Linked DNA regions of Mytilus edulis. The protein of the gene in region 3 interacts with the protein of the main gene of each other region in a biochemical or structural test. Links are inferred from orthologs where the notes say so. Each region holds a gene or a part of one and is shown on either strand. Other genes may lie near its edges.

Region 1 (10,760 bases), on a different chromosome or scaffold from region 3:
ATATTCTGAATATTTTATTTTATTTGCTCTTTCTATTTTTTATTGCACATTTGCCAAAGATTCTGTTTAAAACCATCATTGTCATTCTTTTCTCATCTGCTCTTCTTCTTTTTCTTGTACCTGAAAATGAAAAAAAAAAAAAAAAATCATATTGCATACCCTACATTTTAATACATTGAAAAACTTAGGTAAAGTTTGGAATGTTAACTCATAATCATATCTTTAATAATGCATAATCAGCAATCACTTCAAAAAATACAACATTATTTTTTCTGAAGTTGTTAGTCTTTAATTGATTATTATTGCTTAATGTCCATTGACAAATATTTCATGCATGCAGTCAAAGAAATTGGGGCTTGGCATTTACAGGACGGAATTAATGAATCTTCATTTCTTTCTTCAACAGAACTGAATATATTTTTACAAGACATGTCCTGTCTGTCCTGTGCTAATTTCGAAGACCATGCAGGTTCAGGACAAAAGAAACAGTTTACATAGAAGACATATAAAAAACTGTTTCTTTATGTAGAAACTGAACTAAAAAGTTCTTAGATTTCATCTTTTATGATTATAAATTTTCAGAATATCAACAAGAGATTATTCTTTATTATTCGTTCATATTGGTAACAGAGTAAAAGATATGTAAGTTTTACATGGTATGATAAGGTGATAATGTTACACACAGAAAGCGAGAGTTTTCTGAAGCATAATCATAGGCATAAACAGACATAATTGTTTTATTCTTTGATGAATACAAATAGTTTTGAAATGTAAATTGATAATGATTTGACATCAGGAAGTGGAGCACTTCAATATTGAATTTAAATGAATGAAGCTTAAGTTAATCGAAATCTTATAACAGTATATAGGTTTTGCCATCAATGAAAACCATTTCAAAACAACATATGTTTTCGGTACAACTTCTAGGGTTACAAAGGACAAGGTTCACTATTGACACAAAATGGCCTAAAATATCAACTTTATCATATAACATCAAAAAGGTCACAATTTGGTTCGTAAATGGGTCCATTTCAAAAGTGTTAATTTTAAATACATCAGTTCTTTTAATAAAAGTACATAATATTCCACAAAATAAGCTGATTTTGGACATTTTGTTAAAATATGATTTTGTGCTATTTTCAGACCTAAAAGCTAAATGGAAACACATTGGCCACCACCTATGATCAAAAATGTGTTGTAACCAAAAGATTCCATTTTGATATATTATTCATCAATATAAAAGCTTTTTTGGATCGTGGATGGTTGCCAAGTTTAATTAGGCCAAAAACAATTAAAATTATTGGAAAAAAGTACCAAAATTGACCTTTAAATACAAACAATGTTTATTTAAGGGGTCATAGCTTCATAAATTGTAAAGGAAAGTGCTGGAAAATATATTTTTGTCTTAGTGGTAATAGTATTATCACTAGTATTTCAATTTGAAATTTGTAATTTTTTGGCCCGATTTATAAAATATAAAAAATTTAGCGCCAATTTTAACCCTTCGTGAACCTTCTCCTTTGTTTAAAACAGATCTTAAAAATATCAGTAAATTTTTCTACCTGTCAACGGGAATTCAAACTTCTTTGAGTCATCATTTCATCATGTTGATATTGTCAACTTACTCTGTGCTCTGAACATCACATTATCAGTGGCTCCTTTTTTCAAAGTACGAGAAGTGTACTCGTCACATATTTTGAACTTAATATCAATTACTGGTAATCTAATTTCCGACATCTTTTGGTTATTCATTTTGTATAACCACATATAAAAATTCCCTCTTCCAAATATGTAATGTGTAAGCAGTATGCAGTATTATAGGACCATACAAAATGGTGTTGCATTGTGGACACATCTTATTCTAAATGCTACTGGAAGGCCCTGACAAAATTTATCAGGACACTAGGACTGTGCAACATAATTTATGATAATGGAACTAGCATTTCTGAAAAGGTCCATTATACATGAAGTTTTATAAATCTAGCTGTCAGTTGATTTTTTCTTTTTCATAATGAACATGTGAATGGTATGATTCCCAGGTAATGTTGATCCTGCCAGGGTTGGTGAGTCTCCTTCAAATGTTTCTAAATCTATCTCTGTGCTCTCTAATCCCCATTTCATCAGTAGGTACTCAATACTTCTAGAAGAACTGTAATCATAAATATATATATACTTCATTGACAAATTTACTCAAAATACAACTTTAAATTACATTAAATGATTCAATATAGTGTAATGTAAAAAAAGTTGTTGTCTTGTGGTATGATTGCCAATGAGACAACTATCCACAAAAGACCAATGTATAAGAGTTGAACAGCCTTCATCAATGAGCAAATCCTATACCATATAGTTTAAGTAAGTAAAAGGTAGACACAAAAAAGTTAAACAATTTAAAAGAGAAAACCATGACCTTATTCAAACTTTTAACATTAGGAAAATAAACAATTACAACAGACAGCAACCAAAATAAACCAATGGGTTTAAAGCTCCTGTCTTCAGACAAAAATACTTATATGAATATTTTGTCAACTGACCATGGCTTCCCTTCATCAAAATAGATTGAGATGTGCTAATAATGTTCTCTGAGCACCTCTTACCCTTAATTTACTTAATTTTTGCAAGGATTGTAGATAAATATAATATCCTTTTCCAAATATAAAATACAATTTTATTATCAAATTGAATTGTGAAGTGAATTCCATTATGCAGCCACATGTTTTTTTTTATCTGTTTCCTTGATGTTGTTAATTTTTATCCATGTTAGCAGCTTTTACTGTTTTTCCAAGAAGATCTAGTAGAGCAGCCAACAACTTATTTTCTTATTTTCCTAGTGTTTTGACTTTTTCACAGAGTAAAACACTGGTTACCTTCTTTCTTGATAAGTACACCAAAACTCTGTACTTGGTCTTTTCTTCATTATAAATGCTACCGTAACTATGATGTCTTCAAAGTCTGGAAACAATAAAACAAATTATGTCAATTACTATTAATATCACAAGACATCAGCACTGTTTTCAAAGTTTTGCTACTCACAATTTTATTTGTCAGAAAGATAGACAAAAACTAAACAGGAATGTGTATGCATACTTTAACTGATAACAAAAACTTTTTTGAAATTCTCTAATTTTTCTTGAAATAAATATTTTACATATATATCTTAAATTCAATCATATTTTTACATCACTTTGTAATTAATGTTAGTGTCAATATAACCCCAAATTACACTATAAATACCATTTTCCAACTAGATTTCTAACCTTTAGTATCAAAGAAACAGTCAGATCCTAAGATAATGTCAACAGGTTGAAGATTGAGTAATTCTGGTGTGAATTGTCCCCATTTTATACCAACCACTGGTATATTGGACAGATTATTTGCTTCACATGATGCAGCACAATTCGCAAGGCATTGTGGATATTCAGAACTATCACTGAGAATGACTGTGGCTTCACATTTGGCTGCTACTATCCCAGGAAGAGAAGTTCCAGCACCAATCTGTAATCCATAAAAAAACAAATGTGCAACTTAATATTAATTAAATTCTTAACAGCGTTAACTAAATAGCAAATTGAATTAAATATTTAATTGTTTTGTTTTTTTCAATGATAGAATTATTTAATCACCAACAGTTATCCATGTCTTCATGGTAATAAAAGTTTAAATATTTTCCTGAAAACTGTCTGCTGATAAAAACAGAAAGACAATGGGATACACTGCATATAATGAAGTTATCTCCCTTTTAATATATCTCATTTCATTCATTTCTACCACCTATGATAAAAGCTAAAAGTATAAATTTCAGAATAAGTTTTTCAAAAATTATCTTTATTCTTAACAAAATATCTGAGCTAAATTTGTGTACGGTTTCTAACCATTAATCATCTTTTGTATGATTTTAAGTAGAGAGGCACTTAAAAAAATGCATTATCAATCACATTTTTTAAAATTCAGATGAAACTTCAGATGCTTTCAGAAAACGTCAATTTAATCTTAGCTCAAATGATTTGATTATGTCACCTGAAGGATATTTTTGTTGGTTTTTTTTTGTGCAAAAAAATTCCACTTCAGGAATATTTTCCATCTTGAAACATGGTACAAAAGCATGAACAGATAAATATATATAATAATATACTTCCTGAGAATATTGTTTTGATAAAGAGGATTTTGCTCCATATTTCTTCTAAGCATATCTTCTCATATGCATGTATTGTTAAAAAACTTTTAACAACATATCTTTTTAAGTAGTTCATATCTTCTGTTATCAGCCCAAGGTAGCATTTGATACATGTTTGTTTTATGTTTCATTTCAAATCATTTGGGGTAACTGCAATTGTGATAACAAAGATTTTTTTTCTTCAGAAAACAATCCCCAAAAGGAACACATCTAATGTATTGACCTCAAGTATAGTTTTGCCTTTGAGTGATGCTCTGTGGTACCATATATACTGTGCTAATACTGGTGAACATGGCCACACATACATCCCATAGTTACCATCAAGAACCTAAAATAAAAATTACCGGGTATGTGCTATATTTCTATTAAAATGTGAATGTGACTTTGTCTCTCACATATATATACAAAATTTATGAGGGTTTGCCAGTTGGGTGGGTAGCCAAAAATAAAATGTACACACAAATTGTAATATATTTGCTTTATAATCATGATAATACAATCAAGTTTCTAAAACTAATTTATAAAAAAGTTAGTACATGGTTTGCTGGTCGGACTACAGAATGACAATATGTGTATGAGACCTTCAATTGAACTCTATAATTATGTATATTCAAGAACATGCTTACATGGGAGGGTTGATAATCTGTGAATTATAATTACTGTAACAGATGATACAATAGCAAAGTGTGGTGAACTTTATAACACAAATTTTGAAGAGACTTGAACTGACCCTGCAGAGATGATTTTACAGCAGAGGGATGCTACGAGCTTCACAATTGTGAATGACCCAAGACAATCTGCAATTGAAATCTTGTATTTTCATCATTTTGCTGCACTTTCAATTATGTCAGGAAAAATTATTTTCAAGAGAATCATATCGATCATGTTGACTCCCAAAACACACAAGACCTGGGGATTTAAACCAAGAATTCAAGAACCCAAAATAACATGAATACCAATGTTAGAATAGCAAGGGATGTCAACTTTTTTGTTATCCTTATTGCAAATTTCATAGTACACACCAGGACATCAATCATTTTTTTATTAACTCTGATGAAAGAAAAATTTGACAAGTATTTATAACCAATATCCCAATTGATACCAAGTACATTGAAGTAAGGCTAAACCATGTAAGCTAAATCATTACATGTGCTAATTCCAATAAAAGAATTTTTGCTTAACTAATTATACATTTCTTCACTCATGTCACTACAAAGAAAATGGTATTGCAGTTTTTTTTGCTTAAATTATATTTGCAGATTTTTTTGAGCTAGCAACTTTGATTTAAAACATGTCTTTATCTTGTTTCCTTCAAATGTATATCATAATAGTTATCAAACATAAATATCAAATAAAAAAAAATCATTTATGTAGAGTAGGGCGCTCATATTTGCCGTGGACACAATTTGGCCGTTTTATGATTTTGAGGTGTAAAAACTTCAAAGGATGGTTGAAATTGAAGAAATATGCCGGTAAATTATATTTTTATAACAAATATGATAATTTTTGAAAATGAGACCACATTTCGGCACTTACCACAGAGAACCGAAAAACGGACAACGATTTTCAGCCAATTTCCTGAATGAAAAAAAAAACATTTCAAAGAGGTATCTCTTTAGTAATTCTTTGACTGATTGCTCTAAATTTCAGTTTTTTTTACACCTTTCAAATTTCTGCTATTTGTCTATAATGAAATTTATTTGATACATATTGTTTAAAGCTGCAGTTATTTGGTTTTAATATAGATGTGTAACAACGGCGAATATGTGTTTCCCGTTGACAAAACATCAGGAAATTTCAAACACCCTTTAATCCAACATTTCAAATGATTTTTCTCAAAACAAACACGTTTTGAAGCTAAGAATATTTTGCATTTGAAGTTATCTTCATATATAGAAATATCAGTATACTTCAAAAACATAATTTAAGGACCTGAACATAAACTGAAGAAAACATGGAAAGATATGGCGAAAATGAGCACCCCACTCTATATGTTTCTTGTTTTAATAATATATTAACAAGAATGTGTCCTCAGTACACGAATGCCCCACTCGCACTATCATTTTCTATGTTCAGTGGACCGTGAAATTGGGGTAAAATCTCTAATTGGCATTAAAATTAGAAAGATCATATCATAGGGAACATGTGTACCAAGTTTGAAGTCGATTGGACTTCAACTTCATCAAAAACTACCTCGACCAAAAACTTTAACCTGAAGCGGGACAGACGGACGAACGAACGAACGGACGAACGAACGAACGGACGGACGGACGAACGAACGAACGGACGCACAGACCAGAAAACATAATGCCCCTCTACTATCGTAGGTGGGGCATAACAATGTAAAATTGTATTCATAAGCCTATCAATACTGGTCACTGTGGTGCTAAAAGTAAAATAAAATAGATAAGTGAAAAAGGGGGGTGCTAAATTATGCAGAATTGTTATATAGAAAATGGTATGCAAATCAAATAATACAGAACACAGAAATGATACCTCAGGAATACAAACTGTACAATTTTCTGAATCACTACTGAATTTGAAGAATTTTTCAATTTTCTGCCTCTTGGAAGAAGACATGCTGACGTTCTAGATAATGACATTTGTATGAGCCAATAAAATAGTGTCTTTTAAACCCATACCAGGTCAAATTATAGGTCGTCATTGTCAAAAGAGACATGACAGTGAAGGAAATGTGGAATGTTAATTTTTAAAATGCTGAAAGGTAAACTATAAGACTATGAAAAAGATCTACCAATATAATTAACCCCTTCCCTCCCATCACCCCCTCAAATTCCCCCAAAAGTTAACATTTTGTCAAAACAAACAATCAAAATTGAAAAGTGAAATTAAAATACAGAAAATAAACAAATCAAATATAAATCGCACATTTGCTGACAACTTAGGAAGAGTTTCTTTCTTTTCCTTCTAGTTCTTAATTATGAATAGCTTGCTATGATACACCTTATTGATATTCACGGCTGACCAGAGAATCTGTACTGCTTGAACTATTGACGTCAACATGCTGTTGTTTTTTATTTGGTCGGGTTGTTGTCTCTTTGACACATTCCCCGTTTCCATTCTCAATTTTATTGTACAACAATTTCTTTTCCATTGTGGCGTCAGATATTTTGTATAAGCATTGTGAAATGTAATGGAAGATGGATGAATGTAAAAAGTAGTTTAATAACAAAAAAATATTTCCCAGTAAAATTGAATGAAAAACAAAAAGCATAAATTTGACCGAGCATCCCCTTAAAAGTTGTACCAGTGTCATAAATATAAACAGGATAAACATCTGAATAAAAACCTAAATAAAGTCGTCAAAGGAATGCAATTCAATTGTAAGCTTTTGTATAATAGATGTCAGAAGAAAAATTATGTTACTTCAAATTGAAAAAAAATATTCATATGTTTTTTTAATATAACTAAATGGCTAGTTTTTATTAAAAAAAACTTATGTACTGTATATTTGCTTTTTTCTCAAGAAAATCCTATAGTTCATCCAAATTTAGAATAAATTTACTATTTTTTAAATTGCTTGCTTCCAGTTAACAATTCACAGATATGTTTTCTGTATCATGTATGCAGTGAACTCAGTGTGACCTTTTTTGTAAAAGTGATCCAGTGATTGTAATACGCATAAATCTGTCATTGAAATAAACTATTTCTTATTGTTCATGTTATACATATGCTCAATATCCATGCTTCTTTGTTAATTGTTTACCTTTACTATAAAGGTGACAATAGGCAAACTACGTCTTCAAAACACAACAAAGTATTTAGCTGCCATCTTTTCACATCATAACAGACCAAGAGAAATTATTTTTAACGATTATACTATATGGATGTGTAAAAATGATGAAATTGTGCACAGAAGACTAAGTTTATGATGTATGCATACATTTGCTCAAGAATTTGATTAACATTACTGTTCACCAGTCACTCATTTTAAATGACTTTAATTATTGTATTACATCTGTTTTCACTAATACTGAATAATTTTTTATTTAACTTGGTAAAATAAGGGGAGATAACTCAAGATAATCGAAATTGAATAAGGAATGTTCAGTAAATTTACCTATTTTGTTTTGTTACGACTTGTGACCAATATAATTCTATCATGTAATAAAAGATAAAGGATGTCTTCCAATGCATAACTCCAGTTTGTCAAATTATTATTTGATGCTTTAACACTTTTCACTAAAATATGAATCCTTTTTTTCTAACCAGTTTAATCTTGAAATAAGTTTGTTATAATATTTATTGTTCATCTCAGATAATGCTCATCATGATAATTGCAGGTTTTGAATTGTTAAGTTTTGCCTTGTCTTATAACATCCTGTTTGCATGCTTTATTTCCCACTGGACACTAAGTATTCAAAGTCTACCAGAAAGGAAGTTCTAATAGTAATATTTTTAAAATACTATGTAGCTATTTTCTCATAAGTTCATACTTGTGAATAATTCATTTTAGCCAAAACTAATGTAGTTTTTAAGGACATCTAATATAATATTTTCTGTGACAACTTAACTTCTGTCATGTGATGACATGGATCGCTATGTGAATACATGGAGATCTGGAAAAAAAACCCCATCAATACAGCCTAACAATTTAACAACTATCCAACAATTTTTTAAATTAAGTATCATCTCAGCTCTGATATAAACATCCTAGTAACATGACTCCAGTTCACACCCAAATTAACATATGAGCACCTACACAGTACAATCTGTTCTAAAAGGTTATTAGTCTTGTTGTGAATAATTTGATTAGAGATGAAAAAAAATATGACAAAAACACCTAACTCTCAATTAGAAAAAAAACCATGATGAAATAATAGCCATGTAAACACTGACAGAATTTCTGATTTTGAACAGACTCATTAGCATGTAGCAAGATTAAGCTAGATTTGTTAGTAATCATCCTGATTTTATTTTGATAATAATTGAAGTATAAAGGGAAAAATGCTATACTATTCATTCATGTCAAAGCAAATCAATCAATTATATTGTTAACTTATTCAGATGTTTTGTGGGTTCTTGTTTGCCATATTCACATTTAACATTCCACATCACTACAGTGATACCTATACCAGTGTACTATATTTTTCCTTTTTTGTAGGAATAAGGAGGTTGTCGCAGAATTACAAGTTGAATTTCTGTCGTATGTCACAAATGGCTGATTCTGCTGTGCAGGTAACTTTTTGTTATAAAAAAACAGTTGACATGTTGTAAAACAAAGGGTATATTTGTTCTGACTAACAGAATTTCTCCTGGAAACTTTTTAGTGTACAATGTCATAATATCTGTTCCTGTTGAAACAAATATTCTATACCCCTTATTCTGTAAGAAACAAATACTATTATATTTATTCCATTGGAAATAATAATACAGAAAATTTCTTCCACTTTGAACCTATATTATGAAGGAACTTCTAATCCGTGCACTGATACCACCCACATCTTCTTGTTTATAATAACCTCTTCAAATTGTTACCTATACCAAGCAGGGTATTTGGACTATGTGTGATATTTTAATGTTTTTTATGTCTTTGTAAATGTGTTATTTTGAGGTTTTTGTTGTTAATGGTTAATGTATTCTCTTGTTTTATGTTGTAGATATTTCATTCTTTCTAAACATTTTAAAGGTTTTTCTGTTTCAGAATCAGTTAACCATATACAATTTTACATGCTTTATTTTGTTCTTGAAATTAGTTGTTCCTTTTGGAATTTTTATTGTTAACATTTTATTATAATTATTCATGACATTTTATCTAAGTACTTGTTTTAATGGAACAATTCAAAATTCCCTTTTTATGCATGGCTGTTTAAATGTTTAGTTTCTAACTGATTAACTCAATGTAAGCCGGCACTGAAAATCATAAAATGATTAATAATTGTGAAGTCATATTAAAAGAAAAGGAGTTCATGTTATTGCCATTGATACAGCTTTCCACCTCAGTTAAAGCTCTCAAGGAAAATGAATAAACGGAAATACTCCAACAAACCATTAGATGTAGATGGCAATATCCCTGATGGCAAAAAACGTATAGGTCACAGAGACTCATGATGAAAATTATAAGATGACCAACAGTTAAAATATATCATTTCAATTTTTCTGATAAGAAAAAGAAACACAAATTATATTATTAATGTATTTGTGTGTACAATTGGAGTGTTCTGTTACTTAAACAACACAAAGGAGTAAGTTCGGTAAGGGCCATATTTGGCCCCGATTATAAAGTTCAATGTGACAAGACAAAAAATATTTAAGTTGACTTAAAGACATGAGAGAAAGTTAAATAGAACTATTTTTGTCAAAGTTTAATTCTAACACGTTGATTTTTACATCACAAATAGGTCAAGATAAGAGATTTTTGTGAAATTTGGCAAAATCGGCTGGATTTCAACCAAATTTAGGACAAGGAAACATAGAGCGCAGCCGTCGACAAGCTAAATATTCAATTAAAACATGTAAAATGTCTTCATAAACATTATTTCAAAAGATCTTTGTTGCGATGTATGCGCTCTATGTTTCCTGTCCGATAATCAATGGAAATTTACCCATTTTCTTTGATTTTTTT
Region 2 (10,796 bases), on a different chromosome or scaffold from region 3:
CAATAAATGTAAAATACAAGTTATTTCATGGCCATGGTGTCTCTTATTTCAGAGGCTTTGGTACGACCTGGACAATAAACTTTTAAAATTTTCAGCAGATGTAAGGTCCAAAAGTCCTTAAATCAATAGGTGTAAAAGGTTTAGTACCTAATTTTAATGTCTCTCAAAAGTATGGAAAAATATCAATCTCCAAGGTATATAAAATAAATGGGGAATGTGTCCTGGCAATTGACACAGATGATGCCCCCACTTGCATATAACCTTATAAAGGGACATAACTCAAGAATGGAAAAAGTGACGGCACCACAATTTGAACTTGATCTGAGTAATAGACATTGTGTACCATAAGTTTCATAAAATTTGGTTGAGGCTAACTTTAGAGAAGAGAAACAAAAAGTACAACATTTTTCCCTTTGTAAAGGGACATAACTCTAAAACAATACAAAGAGACACCACCCAAATTCAAACATGATCTTTGTTTTTTGTGGTTATAAGCATTTAGTATAAGATTCATAACATTTGGTTGTGGCTAACTGAAGTTAGAGAACTGTTTGGGACGTATGCACAGACGACACAGGTAAAACTTAATGCCCCCTCCTCTACATGAATAAAAAAATGTTTTGGATATAATGAAAGAGAGTGCCCTTTGAAACAGTAAGAGTCCTAATATATTATAGACAGCCCACCCTAATAAAATTAATGTACAAAGAGAATGTCATATGTAATCACTTATCATCACACAATATTTGTACCTTGTTTCCTGTTTCTGAGGTAATTTCAGATGCTGTTTTCTCTAATACATCCATTTTCCTGAAGAGAAATAGAAATAAAGAAATAGAAATAGAGAAATAGAAATAGAGAAATAGAAATAGAGAAATAGAAATAGAGAAATAGAAATGCGATAAAATGTTATTTAACATGTTTAATGCTTTCACAAATATGACTATTATACATGTGACATATCTTATTGTAGATGTTTCTTTATCAGGCAAAACAACAATGCCATGCTCACACTTTCACATTTTATTGTTCAGACAGTAAACCTTTAATCTTAGTCAAAACCCTAATTTTGCATATATTTAGACAGTTTACTTAATAATGACTTGTGACAGTGAAATTGTGTACTTAGTTTCAAGTTGATGTTACCACAAACTAACATAAACCAAATTTTATTCTATTACATTTCCAAGTTGAGTACACTGTGAATTCTAGGACAAAACCCTAATTTGCATATACATAATGTATATTTTTTTAAGATTCAAGTTGATGAGAACACAAACTACTTCATGTACATTAAACCACAATTTTAATCTACTTTAAAACAAAATTTGAGTCTTATGTTGGACGCATGCAATGACTGTAAAATTGATGCCATTCTATCGTAGGTGGGGCATAATAAAAAGGTTTTAAAGCAATTAAAACAGCAGAGGGAGATATGTGGGCATTTCACAAAATTTCATTGTTCAAGTACAAAATGTAAAATTTAACATTCAATTTGAATTATCTCCCCTTTTCTATTAACCCATGCATATCCCTGTTACACTTGCAAATTGAGGTTCAACAAATTTAACATTTGATTTAAAACCCATGTAAATTAAAATAGCATCTCATTAATATATAAGGCCCACAATGCCCCTTTTAAATAAAATTCTGCTGAAATCTTCTGATACCTGAACCACAATCAATGTATCCAAAGTAGATATAAACTTTTAAATACATATACATAAACATGAAAGCGACCTGCTTGATATAACCACTTGAGCGCCTAGTTTAGACAACATGGTAGCCATTCCTTTCCCCAGTCCTGTTCCTCCACCAGTTATAAAGGCTATCTTCCCATCAAAGGTTCCATTGGGTAACATCTTTCCCATCTGGGCAGGGAACATTTTGGAATGCTCTTTAACATGGCTGACAGGTGTTGTGGAGAATTTCTTTATCTAAAGAAGTAAACAAAATTAAACTGAGAATGAAAAAAATTCCATTTCTAATTGTAATTCTAATTCAGACTATAGCTAATTGTACTGAATATACATTTGTATCAATTGTGGTTTTTCTTCTGTGGATGGAGCAAATCGTCGCTGTTATGCAAAAACCTCATATCTCAATTTCTGCGGAAATCTTTTTATCGATTATTTAGGATTAAATATGTATGTTCCACTGTATGCGAAAATATCTGATCTTCTAACCAATCATTAATCCAAATTCTGACATGTGACGAAAAAGTGTTGTCGGATTGGTGAGACATTTTGTTGTGCGAAAATATCGTATCTCCAAAGAAAAACACTTTCCACGGCAGCTGACATTATAACAGGTACAGTTTTATCAATTTTAGGTTCTCAAAGCTAATATATTAGCTTAAAAATAATGAAAAGCTTTGAAAATACAATATAGGTGCAGAAATTTTTGCTCGTTTTGGTAATTGATTGGTTAGAAGATCAGATATTTTTGCATACAGCATTGTACAGTGGAACATACATATTTAATTCTAAATAATCTATAAAAAGATTTCAGGTTTTACTGCCTGATGTAAAATTATCAAAACCTTAGATACGAGGTTTTTGCATTACATGTACTAAAAATACTAAAAAGCAAAACTTAAAGTTAAAAAAAAGAAAAAAAAAGTAAAAAAACTCCATAAAATTTATCAATGTCTTTTTACAGGTACAGTGTTAAATGCCTTCGAAAGATCCAGAATAGCAATGTCTACCTAGTTTGCCTTGTCGTATGACTGGAGCATGTCATGGATTGTGATGGCAAGTTGGATTTCACAGGAATTTTCAACAAACATTCTGTTCAAATAATATTTATAAACATTATGCAACTAGACAACAATAAGAGAAAATTAAAAAAAAAAGTTGATTGGAGTAGGGCAAACTGACCTGGATTCCAGGAATATCCAGATCTGAAGCCATGGTTTAAAGAGGTCAATACATAATGCTTTTCAAGATGTTAAGCATATGTCTGCATGTAATGTGCTCAAGTATGAAAAAGCTATTTTAAGTATTTTTTTTTTATCTTTTTTTGGTGGTAGTTTTTCATGTTTTTCATATTGCTTCTCTCTTGAGATATTGTCTCTAGAAACAAAGAGCTCACAAGTTGTTGCCAACTTATACATCAAAAGGTTCATAGGCAAAATTATTCCAAATAATTATGACCTCTAATAACAGGCTATTTAAATTTTTTGCTTTACGCTTTCCTGCAGTGATATTGTTTGCCTTAAATTACTGGAGAATAAAGGCTTTTTCCCCTGGTGAAAAATCCCAATTTGAAAAAAAAATGGCTTAAAATTATTCCCAAAAAGACAACATTTTTCCCAAACAGTGCAGTCTCAGTAGCCATTGTGCATGAATTCAAACTGAAAAACACTCATTTAAACATTTTTCTTGCCTAGAATGACTATATGTACAGATTTGAGTGTCTATTCATGTCTGATCACTGACAATAAGAGTTTTTATTTCAAATGAGGGTTTACCTCTTGAAAGAGGGTCCTCAAATTGAAGTTCCAGTCAAATTCATGGTTTATGATAAATTTCCCAATTTGATAAAAATGACGCATATTTTCCCAATAAAAAAGGGTAGAAGTAGTTTTGAAAAAAGTCAACAATATCACTGTCCTGTGACATTGCTCTATTAGGTGTAAAAGAAAAAAATATATAATACTGTCACTGCGGATTCATTTATTTTTGTGGGTACAAATTTTTGTGGATTAAGGAAATCTTACATGTTTGTGAATATTTAATTTCATGGTTTTGCCGAAGTCTAAATAAAAGGCTATAGAAAATTTAATTTCATAGTTCACCTGTTCCTACGAAATCCACGAAAAAATTGGTATCAAACGAATAATAGTGAATGCTTAGCCAGTAGCATTTCAAGACGTCACAATTATTTGGACTAGCAAATTAGTCTAAATAATTCTGACTTTTAGCATGTTTAGGAAGCTAATTTAAATTTTTGCTTTGATGCCTTACTACTTGGACTAACAATGACTAAGGCAAAATAGCAATAAAACGTCTCTAGATTGGTGTTTCAATTATTGATTTGATACTGCTGTTCCTCAATCCCAATCTTAACCAACACATACTAGTTTAAAGCACAGAGAAGAAAATACACAAGAGAAAAACGCACCAAAGAGAAAACCTGCACATTGGGACAATTCGTGCCAACATGTCTTTAAATAAGTCTTATAACTTAAGATTGAGGATAAATTTGAGGATACAGGGGTTAAAAAATTTTGTTACAGCTAACTAGCCCAGGACTTATGGCAGCAGGTTTTTTCTAGCCCTGTTGGAAGAACTGCTAGTCCATCAAAACTGACCTGCTAGCCCTAGTATGCCTTAAAAATCAAGAGTTTGCAGCATAAAACAAAGTGGGTGTCCTTTGTTTTGAAAGAGACATTATACACTGTATTTAATATTTTTTGTTGAATTGCTATTTATTGTTGGTGCTTAACCTAACTTAGTTGTTCCCACATTCAAAGCAGACTTTTTATTGGCATGCTTTGGGCAACTAACGGTAATATTCACAGAGCATCGTCTGTTTTTTTCATCAGCAACAGCCAACCTTCGAGGGGAATCATTGTATCCCAGTTCTGCCAAATTCTCAGGAAGTAAATGCGTGATTTTTTGGCCAATTGTAAAGATCAAAGAGAAAAAACAAAGGAAAATGCCGCCAAATAAGCATGAAAATGTGTGAGTCTCGACCTAAAGACTTGGCAGGTTTGCTGTCTTGGACAATATAATTTTTTTCCCACTTTTCCCGGTCGTATTTTGCATTTTTGGGGGATGATTTTTCAGTCTCGTTATCCCCTCCATCTACCATTTTTTGTTTTGAAACTGATGAAGTTCATAGGGTGTGTGCGACTTGGCAGCCCTGCTGTCCTGGACACTCTTTTTTTTTCCCGCAGCTTTTCCCTATCGTATTTAGCATTTTTTGGGGATGAATTTTCAGCCTCGTTACTCCCTTCATCTACCGTTTTTCGTTTTGAAACTGACGAAGTTCCTGGGGTTCCCGTACTAAAATATTAAGAAATAATTTGTTGCATGGTTTCGTGCTCAAGAGCTTTGCGACAAGATAGGTCAGTACCGATCAATACATCATATCCCCAAATACCGTTAATTGAAAATCTCGGCATAAGCAATGTACAATACCCCAGGCCATGGTATGAGAAATCGATATTTAAAGTACGAGAATTGCAATCAACACATGATACCGGGCCACCGAGAGTTATTTGTTCTGTTTTTAAAATATGTACAACAGGACCTGTACAAACCAGTTCAAATTCTTGGAATCCCTAATGACTTATTAATTGAATCGGATTGGCTAACATAAAATAGTAATGAAGGGATTTTCCACTTTTGAAAACGTCAAGATTTTTTTGTTACTAGTCCGTCGGGCATATCGGGTTACACATTTTAATTGCCCGAGGCATAAATGATCTAGTCCCGGGCGTTGGGCTAGTGGATTTTTTAACCCCTGGGATAGATAAATATGTGTCTATAAAAAAAAAAGTGGATGGTTCTCAGCCACCCACCTAACCTGGTAAACATACAAGGCTCTAGATAGGATGTGTGTTTTTTTTTTGTCAAATTGTTTAAACAAAGGATTTGTATAGTACAATGTCAATGTATATAAGATACTAAGATTTTTTTAAAATTTAGCATACGAAAAGGGTCAAAATCTGGGACAATGAAAGCCCTGTGAATGCTTTAATTATTCATTTTAACGGTAAAAAGAATCTAAAATATAAAATATGTGTCAAAGAGTTAAAATAAACTTTTTCACCTTGCAAACTTTGTTCCATAATACCGAGTCAAGTTTAAAATTTAAACAAAATCTTGCACTTCGACTGGGCGCTGCCATTTTCTACCAAGGATTTCCGAATTAGCCCTGAAACCAGAAAGTGCATTTAGAGTAAAGGGAAGTGGATTGGTTAGTAGGTACCAGTCCGTTAATCAATTCGGAAGATTTGTTTAGAGGTGAACGTGAAATGTTTCGAATATTTCGTCTTACACAGGTAAAAGCCCTGAAAATAGTGAGAGAAACCTATCAGAAACGTTCTCTAAAAAATTAAACCTTGGATAAACCCAGATAAAGTGCTCACGAAGAGGACACAATGTGGTTTCGAACGTTTCATAACGAATTCTAGTCACTTCGACCCCTGTTTAAACATGTTAAATCGGAACCTGGACCAATCGACACTTAGAGGATTTTTCGGCACCTAGTTAAATCGGGATTTGGTTTAATCGCCACCCGGACCTAAGTGGACTTTTCGCACCTAGTCAAATTGGTACCTCGTTTATTTGCCACCTGATTGTTAAATTTATAAAGAAAAATAATATTTTATTCTACAGTATAATCATGATAATCCGATTTTAAAAATATTCTGTTTTCCATATTTTATTAATATTTTCACTCCAATTGTCAACAGATACTTAGGACCCCTTACATGGACCTAAAGACAAACTGACAAATAAAAGAACACAAAATACGAAATAGAAAAAAAACTGAACACGAACCCCACCAAAAACTGAGGGTGATCTCGGGTGTTCCACAAGGGTATATTTAAAACATTTGTAAAAGCAGAGCCTTCTCCACATGTGGCACCTGTCATGTGCAACGTAAATGGGTTTTCTGTGTGTAAACATATTTTTCATTTGTAATCTGTCTCATGACATTATACCCCGCTAGCTCAGCCGGTTACGTTACTGGTAGAGAGGGTTCGGCCTGTGCTTTCGCTCCAGGACTTCTGACAGCATACTGACAATACAACGAAACAGTAAATTCATAAATGACAGGTATAAGAAACCTAAAAATGACCAGTGATGATGATTTGCCAAGCAAAGCATTTGCTCATATAACAAATGACCAAAATTCATAAAACAGTTTCATATTTAATAGACAAAGACAATATAAGTACATAAATATCGCGGTATCTCCATGTGAAATTATCAATTCAGAATTTCAATTCACTTTCGAACTTCCCCTTTTAAACAAATGATGCGGTGAAAAATACCCATTACCAGTTAACCAATTCAAAGAAGCGTTTGGCCTTAGTGCTATCTAATTGAATAAAATAATATGATACTAGAATTTTGAGGTGTCCGTTTACTTAAAATATTGAGAGCTGTACACTAGTCATCCTTAACTAAAATATTATCCAATCAATCAAGTTGTGACGTCAACCTTCCGAGACAAAATAATTATACCACTGGTTCCCACTGACTTTTTTAGACTAGATCATGAACCTCATTATTCTATGACTAGGGAACAAAAATCGATCCGGTAAAAAAACATCACATTTCTCTACCCATTTAATTTTCAATCCAACCAGAGCAATGTCTGAAAACGTTTTTCAATATCATTGACCAGTTGAAGATCCAAAACTAAAACATGCGATAATACAAAGTTCTATTTCAGAGTAAGGCACGAACAATTCCGTAGATTGACGACTGTTACTCCAAAATACCCCTCGGATTAACCATCTGTCTAAATATCGCTATCAAAGTGAACTCCATCTCTTTATAAACCCGAAATCATAAAGTATCTAGCTAGTGTACAATTCCCTTTATTTATTCTGGAACAGAAACGTAATTTGATATTTTTAGAACTGTTTGAATACAAGACGGAAAAGAAATATATCAAATGAGAAGAAATAAATATTTAACATGTTTAAGTCAAACATCAATCTAATTAAAAACCGATCTCTCATCGCTCCTGTTTCTGATATGTCGCGTGGGAGATCTAACGAAACCGGCTTTGAGGTCACATGTGAGTGAACTAAAAGTCATGAATTTATAAAGATATGCAAATGAGTTGACGACCTATTAATAAGCCAATCAAAAAAGTTTATGAATTATTTTGACTGACGATTTCGTCGTAAATAAAATGAGTTACATCCCTTTGCCTTACGTTAAACTTCCAAGATCGTGGAAGACTCAATTTCATTGGTCGAAAAAGACACACCTACGAGGTCACTCACATGTGACCTCAAAGTGGGTTTCGTTAGATCTCCCACGTGACATATCAGAAACAGGAGCGATGAGAGATCGGTTTTTAATTAGATTGGTCAAACATCAAAATACAAAATAAAATGAAATTTAAAGTACAACTTACCAGTACGGAAGTTTTCCCCAATCTAAAGAAATACTGCCCTGATGAGGTTTAAATATTCAAGTCTGGACATTGAGTTTCAAGCACGAGAAAAACGATCCCCGTGAAAAAGTAACCAGACAACTATAGTATATATAGTATCTAAAAATAGAAAAAGGGGAATTTACGATGACCCACAAACGTTACACATGTTGCTAATGTAATTACAATCCCGGTAAATACTAAAATAGTCCTATTGGTAGGTCACATTCGTGAATAGGGAACAAACAATGTCATTGTCAATTTATACAAATAAATCATATTTGATTCTGTTTATTCCATTTAGAACAAATACAGTAATATTTGACATTGTTGTAGTGGAAATATGATTCCAGAATGCTAATTCAAATGCATTAGAAGTATTAATATTTTAAAGGACCTTCTGTTACAATATATTATAGTTAATGAATATTTTGATATTTCTACATGTATTCTCTGATTTCTCTGTGAATTTACCCATTTGATCTTCTTTCATTGAAAACCGCTTTAAAATTCATTAACTTTATCCTTGGTTGCTACATGTATAAGCAATGATAAGTACTTTACAGTTTTGTTAGATGGTTTCCTTGAGGTTCCCATTCTAAGTATAAATATTGGAAAACTACTCTCTAAAAGTTGTTTTCACAAAGACATTGATGGAAGCAGATCAAAAAGCTTGGAAAAGAAAAAAGTCTAAAGCAGGCAGAAGTTTAGTTTAATAAATGTCACGGAACAAAACATTACATCAGATGTTGTTTACCTTTATTTGATTCTCTATATCTACAGTGGCAGATCTAGAAATTTTTATAAGTAGGGGCCCGCTGGCTGCCTAAGAGGGGCCCCGCTCCCGTCACGCTTCAGTGATTCCCTATATAATCAACCAAATTTTGTTCTCCCTAAATCCACCTCTGATCTACATGTATTTATGTTTTAGTTGACAACTATATATATGTAGGTCTTTATGTATTTATGTTTTAGTTGACAACTATATACATTGTATATGTAGGTATTTATGTATTTATGTTTTAGTTGACAACTCTCTCTATCTACATCTATTTATGTTATAGTTGACAACTCTCTTTATCTACCTCTATTTATGTTATAGTTGACAACTCTCTCTATCTACATCTATTTATGTTATAGTTGACAACTCTCTCTATCTACATTTATTTATGTTATAGTTGACAACTATATATATGTAGGTCTTTATGTATTTATGTTTTAGTTGACAACTCTCTCTATCTACATCTATTTATGTTATAGTTGACAACTCTCTCTATCTACATTTATTCATATTATAGTTGACAACTCTATGTAGATCTACACTCAGACATAGATGTACAGAGGCAAGCACTTTAACTGAAGGAGAACAGAAAATTGTTAATGTACTCAAGGAGAAATTTCCCAAGGCTTCAGACATACAAGCTTTAGATATATCAGGTAAAATTTCTTTTCTTTTGTTCTGTCCTTCAGATTTTATACAATATAAAAAAGAAGATGTGGTATGATTGCCAATGAGACAACTGTCCACAAGAGATCAAAATGACACAGACATTAACAACTATAGGTCACCGTACTGCCTTCAACAATGAGCAAAGCCCATACCAGCTGGTCAGGTGTCTATAGTATAGAGGCTATGCAACAATCATTTTGATAAGGCATAACAAAGGTTAAAAAGAAAATGTTATAGAAATTAGTTAAAACTAAATATAAAAAACTCTGTATTACTAGTATGATATCAAATAGTATTTTTTTCCCTATATTTTAGGAGGATGTGGGTCCATGTATAAAGTTTATGTAGAATCAGCAGAATTCTCTGGACAGAGAACATTGAATCAGCACAGAATGGTGAAAGAGGTAATGAATATCTGTTATAGTAACCTTGTATAGCTCTAGTTTGTATCTATCAAAACATTAGTTTGAGGGGTTAATCAGGCGAAACAATAGTAAAATCACAAAAATACTGAACTCTGAGGAAAATTCAAAACAGAAAGTCCCTCAAACACATCAAATGAATCAACAACTGTCATATTCCTGACTTGGTACAGACACTTTCTGAAGTAGGAAATGGTGAATTAAACCTGGTTTTATAGCTAGCTAAACCTCTCACTTGTATGACCATGATGACAGTTGCATAAAATTTCACAATCTCTCGTAGTCTCAAGTCAGGAGCCTCTTATTCAGTAATTGTTGATGTATGATGTACAATGTATTCCAAAATGGATTTTCGTTGATTGTTTGAAATGCTATCAAAACCTTATGCTACTGACTTGATATCTAAATCTTCCAAGGATTTATATCACTACCTTTTTAATACACAAAATATAGTGCATTGATCGTAAAATTCTATACATCTTATCCATGAACTTTTCTAGAAAATTTATCAATGTAATATATGCTCAGATATTCAAGTCACAAAATAATGCTACATCTGTCAAGAAAATTACATAACTTTTGCAAGGTGCAGGAATCTAATACCTCTTCTTAAAATATAAATGATGTCATTGTTAAAGTCATCTTTAATCATTTAAGTTATCTCCCATTGTCCATTATTGTAGTTGAATTAACCACAAAATGTTCTACAACCAATGCTTTATTCACAGTTCAATATTTAATTTTACTTTCAACTGATAAACTAACACAATCTTTACCCTTCTGTGTTTACACTC
Region 3 (10,166 bases):
ATGTAAACACCTTGCAATTTTCCATTTACAAAAATTCAGTGGCCCTATTGCTTAAAGTATCTGAGAAAAAAACACCAAATATAGCTGACCTAGATGAAAAACTGCTAAAACACAAAAACCAAACATTGACCAATGAACTATAAAAATTAAATCAAGGCCAGATGATATATACAAACAAGATCGACATGTACACCATGCAATCATTCCGTACACCAAATATAGTTGACCCTGCTAACCAGAATTGAAAACACACTTAACAAAAAAATGATATACCATGAAAATGAAGTCAGTGTCAGATGATATCTGCAAGACTAATATACTACCCTTTAAATACAATCATTCAATACACCTCCTGATTATAGAGTCTGAGAAATGAACCTAATTACATAACTTTAATCTTGGTCACTGATCTATGAAAGAATCTTGAGGTCAAGAGAACCTTAACTGATGGACATGTGGACATTGCAAGGAACCCATACACCAAATATAGTTCTCATATTACTAATATTTAAAGTGTAAAATTCACATAACATAAAACTATATTTTTTCCAAGCAGTCACTGAACCATGAAAATAAGGTCAAAGATAATGGATATATGACAGACAGAAACTTCATAGCATTAGGTATCTGCATATAAGGTATAAAGCATCAATGTCTTCTACTGTCATGTAATATAATGCTTTCTGCAAATAGTTTTCTTCTCAGCCGCAATTTGTAATTCCTATGTCAGGCATTCTGCAACATTTGTCGCTCTCTAATCTGTCAATTCATGTATTTGGCATTTTCTCGGACTGTTCATGATGTCTTTACACTACATCCATTGGATGTTGGATGTGAACTCGACTGATTGATATTTTAGTCTAAGATACATTTCTTTTATTAGTTGTTTTTGGCTTCAAAATAGATGTCAGTAACTATGAGTATTCCCAGTTCTGTACTTGGTGTCTCTTTGCTGTTGCGATGTACAAATGTCACGTCCACTCTGTGTTTTGTTTTTGTATCCATCTAGTGATTTGAGTCTTTTTCAACATTAATTATAGCTTGTCTTATGCTGTACTGTAACCCCAATGTCCCAGTTTCCAGGAGGGTTGATGCCTTCAAACTAGCTTAATCTGACAACAATGTATAAGTGCCTGTCCCAAGTCAAGAGTCTGTAATTGATTGGTTATTGGGTTTTTTTATTGCTGTTTTTTCATATTTGTTTTATGTTTCTTGTTTTGCATTGTTTGTCCTTATGCTGTACCATTACACCACTGTCCCATGTTAGGGGTTTGGCGTCAAAAAACTAGTTTAACCCTGCCTTATGCCTGTCCTGAATCAAGAGCTTGTAATTCAGTGTTTGTTGTTTGTTGCTGTGTTACATATTTGTTTTTCGTATGTTAATTTGTTCAGAAATGAGGCTGTCAGTTTTCTCGTTTGTATTGTTTTACATTTGTTATTTCTGCCCTTTATAGCTGACTATGCAGAATGTGTATACTCATTGTTGAAAACCGTAACTTAGTCTCTTTTTGAGAGTTGTCTCATTGGCAATCAGACCACATCTTCTTTTTATAAAATTGAGAATGGAAATGGGGAATGTGCCAAAGAGACAACAACCCGACCATAGAAAAAAACAACAACAGAAGGTCACCAACAGGTCTTCAATGTAGCGAGAAATTCCCGCACCCGGAGGCGTCCTTCAACTGGCCCCTAAACAAATATATACTAGTTCAGTGATAATGAACGCCATACTAATTTCCAAATTGTACACAAGAAACTAAAATTAAAATAATACAAGACTAACAAAGGCCAGGGGCTCCTGACTTGGGACAGGCGCAAAAATGCGGCGGGGTTAAACATGTTTGTGAGATCTCAACCCTCCCCCTATACCTCTAGCCAATGTAGAAAGTAAACGCATAACAATTTGCACATTAAAATTCAGTTTAAGAGAAGTCCGAGTCTGATGTCAGAAGATGTAACCAAAGAAAATAAACAAAATGACAATAATACATAAATAACAACAGACTACTAGCAGTTAACTGACATGCCAACTCCAGACTTCAATTAAACTGACTGAAAGATTATGATTTCATCATATGAACATCAGGCACAATCCTTCCCGTTATATTTACAATCCTATTAGGCTTTAATTCCACTTCATTGATAATAATTCAAAAAATATCTATAGAGATTGTTACACTAAATGCCATGCAAAAGATGATGAATAGTATTAATTTTTAAATTGCTAAAAATTGTCCAAATTTAAGTTTTTGAATCATTTTATCTTAAATTGTGCATAATTTGAATTATTCAAAGTTTTCTTTGATTTAATCTCTAAAATACTTAAGGGAAATATTCTTTAAGCTCAAATTAAAAGAGATAAGATTAATATCTCAAAAAAGATCAATGATTTTTAGATTTTAAGCTCAAATAAAGGGAGATAAGATTAATATCTCCAAAAAAAATAATTATTTTAAATTATCTCCCATGGAAACTTCTGAGAAGGTATAGTTCTCCTACTCTTGAATATTCAGTATTGACTGCTGTTTTTAGAAGTAAATATCACACAGTAACTGCATAAACATTACTTTACATTATGATCTTATGAAGTAAATTTGTTTGTAGATTTCCATTATAGAAAAGAAAACAAATGAAGTATACAGTGTATTAAAATAAGAATATCGATACTAGAAAAAAAACCAAGACATTTTGAATGATTTCACATTAGAAAAAGATTAAACACTTTTACAAGATATATGTCTCCTTGTTTATTAAGCAAAAAGGAAAGATTTAAAGGACACATGCTTTATAACTAATATGGCAATCAACAATAAAAAACTGAGTGTGAAAAACAATTCACATTGCATTCTTAATAATATTACCACAGACATGACAGAGACAGGAAAATACTTCTGTCAGATTTTTTTTTATAACAGTAATGTCTTTCAATGTGACATCCAAATCTTTAAAATTATTCTTGTTTACTGCAATATTTCAAATTTTCCATTCTACATTTTTTTTTCTTTTTTTTTTTAAATGTTTAACATTCATGATACTAACAAAACATTGCATTGTAGTTTTATGATACATTCACAATAGTTAAACTATGAAAAAAACAAGGTGATGAGTACAAAGCTGTCTAAATATCATTTTTTGTTCTCTCAATGTCAGCCATTAGGATTTCAAGAACTGTCTTTATGATCTAACAAAGCCGATCGGATTCCAATTTTCTGTAATTCATCCACAAGTTCCCCATTTTTGTGCATCTCCACCAACACATCAGAACCTCCTATGAATTCACCATTTAAATAAACCTGGGGTATGGTTGGCCAGTTACTGTATTCTTTTATTCCTGGAATAAAAAAAAGATTAAAAGTTTAAAACCATACATATCATTTTGCATATAGTTATGTTAGTTTGATGTCCTGGCAACCAATCACAGACTTTCTGAGACAACTTAACTAGTCTTTTTTTAACAACTAACTCATATGTTCCTGCATATCTTTTTTATGACTAGAAAAGATCTTTGATATTATTGTTGGGTAAGGTCAAAAGAGCTACATGTATAATCTGACAAATAAAGATGAGTGGGTCTGTCCTAACATAAGCATGATAAAAATTAAAACCAAAGAAAATCAAAGTGATGATCATGGTAATTATTTAAAGTTTGCCAAAAGATCAAAGACATTGCCACAAAACCCATACACATTGTAAAACTGTATACTTGAGTAACATGACGGACTATGATAATTATAGGTTTCTCTGTATGTTAAGATACCAGACTTCTTTAACTTTCACATCTAAAAGAACGGATTTTTGCTGCTTTCATGTCTTTTGTGGTAGAGCAGTATATATAAGGTACAAATGTATTTATATTATACATGTTTATATACATGTACTTTGGATATTATTTCGAAAGCAGTTCAGCATTCTTATTCATTATACATGTAATACTGCATCTGAAGTATTATACATGTATATATGTCATACATGTATGTATTAGAGCAATCTTTTTTTTCTGTATATTATATTTAAAGATGTAGGAAGATGTGGTATGAGTGCCAATGAAACAACTCTCAATCAAAAATAACAATTTATAAAAGTTACCCATTATAGGTCAAGGTATGGCCGTTAACACAGAGCATTACAAGAATAAATTCCTAGGAACCCTCAAATCATATTTCTCTATTTTCTTATAAAATGTATAGAATGAAGTTCTGTTTAGAATCATTGCTTTTGTGAGATTTTTTTTTAATGAAACTTCAAGATAAAGAGGTATTTCAATCTTTCTGTCACTCTGACTTTGTGTTAATAAAAATAGTTGTAAAAATGCGAACCAACATGACCAAGCTAAAGTGTTGTTTTATTTGACTCTATCCTTCTGTCCTGGTATCAGTTAACATTAGTACGAGATGAAGTAGTGTGAGATTTCGATTGTTGTCGTAGTAAAGCGTAGTAAAACACTACTGGTCCTTGAATAACTTACTTTATTTTTTTATCAATTTTAATTGTTGCATAAGAATGTAATACAAAAATTCTAAATTATTGTTAAAATCTTCTTCTTCTTCTTCTTCTTTTGTTACAGAAAACCATAAACGTACTGATGTTTACTTTCCGGCGTATGCCTGGTAAATGTTTTTTTAATAAATTTTAATTTATGTGAATAATTTTTGTCAAAACATAAATTAACAAAATATTTCTTGTTTAAAGTTGTTTTTGGTCATATATTTTCGTATTTTCAAATATACCTTGTCTCAAACTTTCGTCTTGAAGAACATTATGTGCTTTAAATTCAACACCATGCATATTTAGACACTGCACTGCCAATCTGCTAAAGCCACACATGGGCTGATCAGGGGTGCCCTTCATGAATAAAACAACTTTTTTGTCTTTGACAAGACCGTCAATGTGTTCTTTGCTTCCAGCATTTTGTGAATAATATGCAAGAAGACGACAATATGTTGACCTGTTCTCAGTATTCAACAAGGACACTGTAGATCGTAGTAGTCTATTCATCTTCAAGCTTATGCAAGGAAAACTAATTTTAGCAAGTTCTTTTTATTCTTTCGGCACCCTACAAAGATTTCAAAGATAAATCCCGAGAGTCCATGAAAGCGGTTCCGGTGTACACGAAAACATGACAGAAAAGTTAGAAATAATTCAACAACTTCACATAGCTGTAGAAAATGACAGAACAGATATTTTACGAGCTTTTATATCAACAATAGAGCAAAGTATGCATGTTATGATAATCGTCAGAGGGTGGATTCAAAAGTTCTAACATAGCACCAAAATTGTTCTAAAAATTATAACAAACTTTTTTTATAGGTCCAATTGTAATTTGTGTTTCCTAACTTGGAAAGCTACATTTTTTGCTCTGAGTTAATGAGCAGTGTTCCAGCTAGGCCGTTTTCAGAGGGCGCGGCGCCCGCCCTTTTTGGAGTGGCGCCCTGTGCCCTTTTTACAGTTTCCAGGGCGCCCTGCCTTTTTTTGAAGATCGATTGCATATTAATTTGCGTATTGATATGATACGCTAATTACTAAATTTTACCTGGGGAAAAGATTATGACTTTGTTTACCACCCCCAGCTAATCTATGGTTACAACTGGTGTCATAATCTGTTGTTATAGGTAATCCGTTTATCGGATGGGTCATTAATGATCATCAACATTAATTCGTTCAAATAGAATCGGTCAGTCGGCAATTATCTTTGAAGAAATGTGCATACAACAACTTGGGCACAATTTGTGATGTTTACCGTAGTTTCATGGAAGAAACGTAATGACAGAAAGTTGGAAAACCATACACCTTATCACTATTTGTCCGCCATTGCTGGATATCACACAGGTTCCCGTAAAATGTTGACGTCATAAAACAAAATATCTGACGCCACAATGGAAAAGTGATTGTTGTTGACGTCAAAAGTTCAAGCGGCCGGGTCAGCCGGGATTAGCGATAAGGTGTATTATAAACTGGTTGAAGACATTGTTTTACTTGTTTTCTGTAAAATAAACAGAAAATTCAGACGTATTTGTCATTGACTGCCTTCATTTTTGATACGAAAATAACAAAATCGGCCACCATATTGTGATCATATTTACATCATATTTACGTACTGTTTATAATCCTCCAAAGAAGGAGCACACCCGAATATAGAAAGATAACTCAATCTGATTTTTTTCCTAGCATTGAGTAACCCATTTACATATTCTAAAATGTGTCTCCAAACATGTACTTCTTGCTTAAGAATATATATGTTTAGGTATTTATTTTGAGTTATGGGAAAAGTTAAAGAGGGTCTTAGTAGCAGTGTTGGTAGGGTGCCTTGGTCATCTTTTTTCTGTATTCTTTATTTTTGATACTATTTTTCACTGTTGCTTTATATCCTAAAATTGTGAATTTACTGAGCACAGCTGTTTTGTGCAGTATTGCCATCAAGCACAGCAGGGGAAGAAAGGTGAAACTGGTAAAATGTGGTAGACCATAGAAACAGTATGAAACTGATCTCCTTTCAAAACATACTGCATATAAAGTTCAACTGTGCCAAGCAATGATAAAAAAACTTGTGTGACAAGCTGCTTGACAAGTTTTTCAGCCTTAAAAGTAGAAAGATAGAGTTCTATATGGGCTAAAGATGTTGTTCTTGTATAACCTGTGATTCAACGAATAAACACAAATGTTTGATTAACATCTTTTATTAAAATATGCCCTTTTCATATTATCATATCGCGCGTTAAATGCCCTTTTTCAGGATTGGCACCCTGCCCTTTTGAAAACCTAGCTGGAACACTGATGAGGATTCAAAGCCGATATGTCAGTCACAATGCTTAAATGTATGTAATTAGGTCACAGCAGGAACATATATATATTGACCGGACTTGACACTACCAAATAATTTGCAGCCGATTTTATTGTCAGGTCATAGTTAATAAAGATACAATACTGAATCAGACATGTGTTAAAACATACTCGCTATTATCCTAATAATTTCTGATAATATCAATAAAATGTATTTCAAACTAGTTTGATAGTGATTGCAGTGTATCAAACTTGTATTCTGTCACTTCAAATTTGTTAAAATCACATTCATTTAATCACAGAATGGTAAAGAGAGCATACAGGGTCAAAATAAAATTGCTTGGATTGCATTCCCAAATTTACAAACCATTATTAAACACTTCACATCAAATAAATCAAACTAATTTTGGTCATTTTATATGACAAAGTATATCTACTTTATGATAAAACTTGTACAATTTATATACGATTAGAATTATGTGGTTAATTTATTGAGCAGTTCCGATAGTTATTCAGTCGGACGCTTCCAAAATCCATCAATTTCGCCAAGTCTGGGAGTCAGAAATTTTATCAATTTTATACTGAAAAGCGTATCAGATTAATTTCTTGTTTAAAGATTTAATGTTCCCAGGTTACAGCTACATTTGTACCTTCCAATTGTCCAAAAAGTAATTGATGATAAAGGCAGCGTTTTCACCACAAAATTTAACCTGTGCATCCGAGAAAGTATTATGGCATGGACATGATGGATGAACCCAAATACGTAAAATTTATATGCAATTTATACTTCAGAAAAATTGAAACCTTCCTCAAGTTTTATGTGTATTTTTTTCTAGTCTGCATAGTCTTTTAGATGGTTAAAAAGATATAAACACTTGCATTTCAATTGATTCTGTCTACCATTTTTAATCGCCTATTGTTTGCAGACATCTTCATGTACATGTAATATGTCTATTGTCCTGTATCGTCTATATATTTAATGTTTATCAATACAATTCACTCTATTTATTATTACAATATGTAGAGGGTAGTTCTGAAACATCTTTCCCAACCGGTCCAACAATTTACAGAAAAGAGCGACGATTTACAGAAAAGAACCGAAAAGAGCATACATATAAATTATTATTTAATATATATACACCAATTTTTCCCCCTCGTAATAAAGGAATGTATAGTTCAAATTTATTTTGAACGTTTATAGGGATATGTAGACTTACAAAAAAAGTTAGATTTCCCTGAATCAGATTAAGGCATTTAAATATTTAATAAAAAAATCAAAGCGTCATTTTCTTGCTTTAGAAAATAGAATTGTAAAAAACATTTGAATAAAATTTCAATTCCTGCTACATGTAAACCATGGCAGACTTTAAGATGTTCCTGGTTCCTTTCAATTTCTTAATTCAATTTACGGTATAAAACGTTGGGCTACATGTGAATAAAAGGAGATAAATCAATAAAAAAAAATACATCATTATCTACATATTATAAATGTTGTGCACATCACAGTCATTTCATTTCATATTTCAGGAAATATAGATAAATGAATAGCGCACCCGCTTTCGGTATAATTGATAACTGTTTACTCTTTTATAGGTATAGATTAAAGGGTGTGAAAAAGTTAATGGCCTGTTGATTTCTAATAATTTTATCTTATAAACCATTTAAAACAGCTATGTACATTAGCGAAACGATGTCAGATGGTGATAAAATAAATGTTGGCCTGTGCTAGTATATGTATCTATTGAGAAACTTGTGCATGGAGATAGCGGGACTTTTCCTTGAAGAATTCAAATCCTTGACAGGTTTAATGTGTCAAAGTAACAATTAATGTGTTTTCATTTAACATGTAAGATCAGGGTAGGAATGGGGGTACCTTAATGACGTATAATGGTAAAAATTCTAACCAAAGACGTTAACGATAATTTTTAGTGAATGACGATAACATGTACACTTTCTTTTAGACGATAAAAAAATCAGCTGAATTTGACAAATCACGCTATTTTTACCCAAAAATAACGGTAACGATAATTATTTAAGACATCGGACGAATCACGGTAAAAAATTATACATTTGACGCTTACGGTAGCCGAAAATGACCGTTTGACGCCTGACGGTAAAGGGCATTACCTCCCTCATGTAATACACAAACACAAAAAAAAGAACGAAATATTCGTATTTATTCAATAACTACTGTAAAGTTTTCCGTCACGATATTTTGTTTTATTTTGTTTTTTGTCTGATTGTACGAATGTCCGTGTTATTATATATTCACTGATGAATTGAATATATATACACATTCCAAAAAAATATATATAAGGAACTGTTGTAATGTTCGAAATGAATTAGCGACAGAGATTGGACAAAATAATGACACTTAGCTTATAAATACAATTAACGTAGAACGATTGTTTGACAGTAATGAATAAATATCTTATATGTTCTTGTCTGTTCTATGTTTTCTATTCCATAAGTTAGGCATCCGACCCTACCTATAATTTTTCACATGTACAGTAAGTTATTATATGCAGTCCTGTCGCAGTATAAGGTTTAAAAACCTAATGATAAACTTTTGTCAAAAATATCCTTTCATTTTTAATAGACTTAAATAATTTGCAATTTGCTAATTTTCTTCGATTACAAAAAACGTTGATCTCCTTTTCGGTTCTTTTCGGTCCTTTTCGGTTCTTTTTGGTCCTTTTTGGTCCTTTTTGGTTCTTTTCTGTAAATCGTCGCTCTTTTCTGTAAGTTGTCGAACCCTTCCCAACTTTTTATTTTTTTTTGCAGGAACAATTAAAATACACATAAAAATCTGTTCAGTTTTTTTATATTTTGAAAAATGTACTTAAATTTTATTCATCGTGGTCCAGCCATGCCTTAAAATGTTTCACAGGTTTTTCTATACTCAGAGTATAATTCAGGGTGTAAAATATACAGCCATATTTGAAGAAATGTTATGATGAACCTTAACCATTTATTTCTGTCCTCGGGTCATCTGGTATAACTCATTCATGAAAAACAACTCAAGATTTGTCAATATCATTGGATTTTTCATTTTTTGTCTTGCCTTCATGTTGAATAATATTTGATAAATTTCTGTGAATTTTCAATTTATGTAGCAAAAATTAGGTATTTGATTTTTTTTTTAAATTTGAGGATGTAATTATCATTTTCATAAATTTTCAATTAAGAACATGAATGGAAAGTTTAAAACTTATTATATATTTATGATTTATATATAATTATTATTTACAATTTATTTTAGATGATGACCATCATCAGGTGATATCAAATGTACTGAACAATTGTTACCATGACGATGGCACATTACTTCATGTTGCTTCAAAGGTAATTTATTTAGTAATGCTGTCAAGGTATATTTGTTTCTTCTA

Evidence for each region.
Region 1: the proteins of uncharacterized monothiol glutaredoxin ycf64-like (region 3) and DNA-binding transcriptional regulator BolA-like form a complex in vitro, tested with the Homo sapiens proteins (2 studies listed by BioGRID). The link is inferred for Mytilus edulis from reciprocal best matches to the Homo sapiens genes GLRX5 and BOLA1.
Region 2: the proteins of uncharacterized monothiol glutaredoxin ycf64-like (region 3) and bolA-like protein 3 form a complex in vitro, tested with the Homo sapiens proteins (4 studies listed by BioGRID and IntAct, with this or other methods). The link is inferred for Mytilus edulis from reciprocal best matches to the Homo sapiens genes GLRX5 and BOLA3.

Annotation. Positions count from the first base shown.
Region 1 is NC_092352.1:33,326,434-33,337,193, forward strand, and holds the start of DNA-binding transcriptional regulator BolA-like, read left to right. Parts: upstream 1-6,781; 5' UTR 6,782-6,874; coding exon 6,875-6,899; intron 6,900-9,299; coding exon 9,300-9,373; intron 9,374-10,760. Other genes in the region: histone-arginine methyltransferase METTL23-like, read right to left, coding at 1,981-2,149, 2,868-2,952, 3,258-3,495, 4,398-4,502, 6,671-6,754. UniProt on the Homo sapiens protein: Acts as a mitochondrial iron-sulfur (Fe-S) cluster assembly factor that facilitates (Fe-S) cluster insertion into a subset of mitochondrial proteins. Probably acts together with the monothiol glutaredoxin GLRX5. May protect cells against oxidative stress.
Region 2 is NC_092348.1:96,083,593-96,094,388, forward strand, and holds the start of bolA-like protein 3, read left to right. Parts: upstream 1-5,900; 5' UTR 5,901-5,986; coding exon 5,987-6,013; intron 6,014-9,428; coding exon 9,429-9,567; intron 9,568-9,895; coding exon 9,896-9,984; intron 9,985-10,796. Other genes in the region: 2,4-dienoyl-CoA reductase [(3E)-enoyl-CoA-producing], mitochondrial-like, read right to left, coding at 753-810, 1,741-1,937, 5,782-5,859. UniProt on the Homo sapiens protein: Acts as a mitochondrial iron-sulfur (Fe-S) cluster assembly factor that facilitates (Fe-S) cluster insertion into a subset of mitochondrial proteins. Probably acts together with NFU1.
Region 3 is NC_092346.1:25,938,186-25,948,351, forward strand, and holds uncharacterized monothiol glutaredoxin ycf64-like, read right to left. Parts: upstream 5,053-10,166; 5' UTR 4,996-5,052; coding exon 4,728-4,995; intron 3,332-4,727; coding exon 3,162-3,331; 3' UTR 2,119-3,161; downstream 1-2,118. Other genes in the region: uncharacterized protein, read left to right, coding at 5,117-5,213, 10,040-10,122.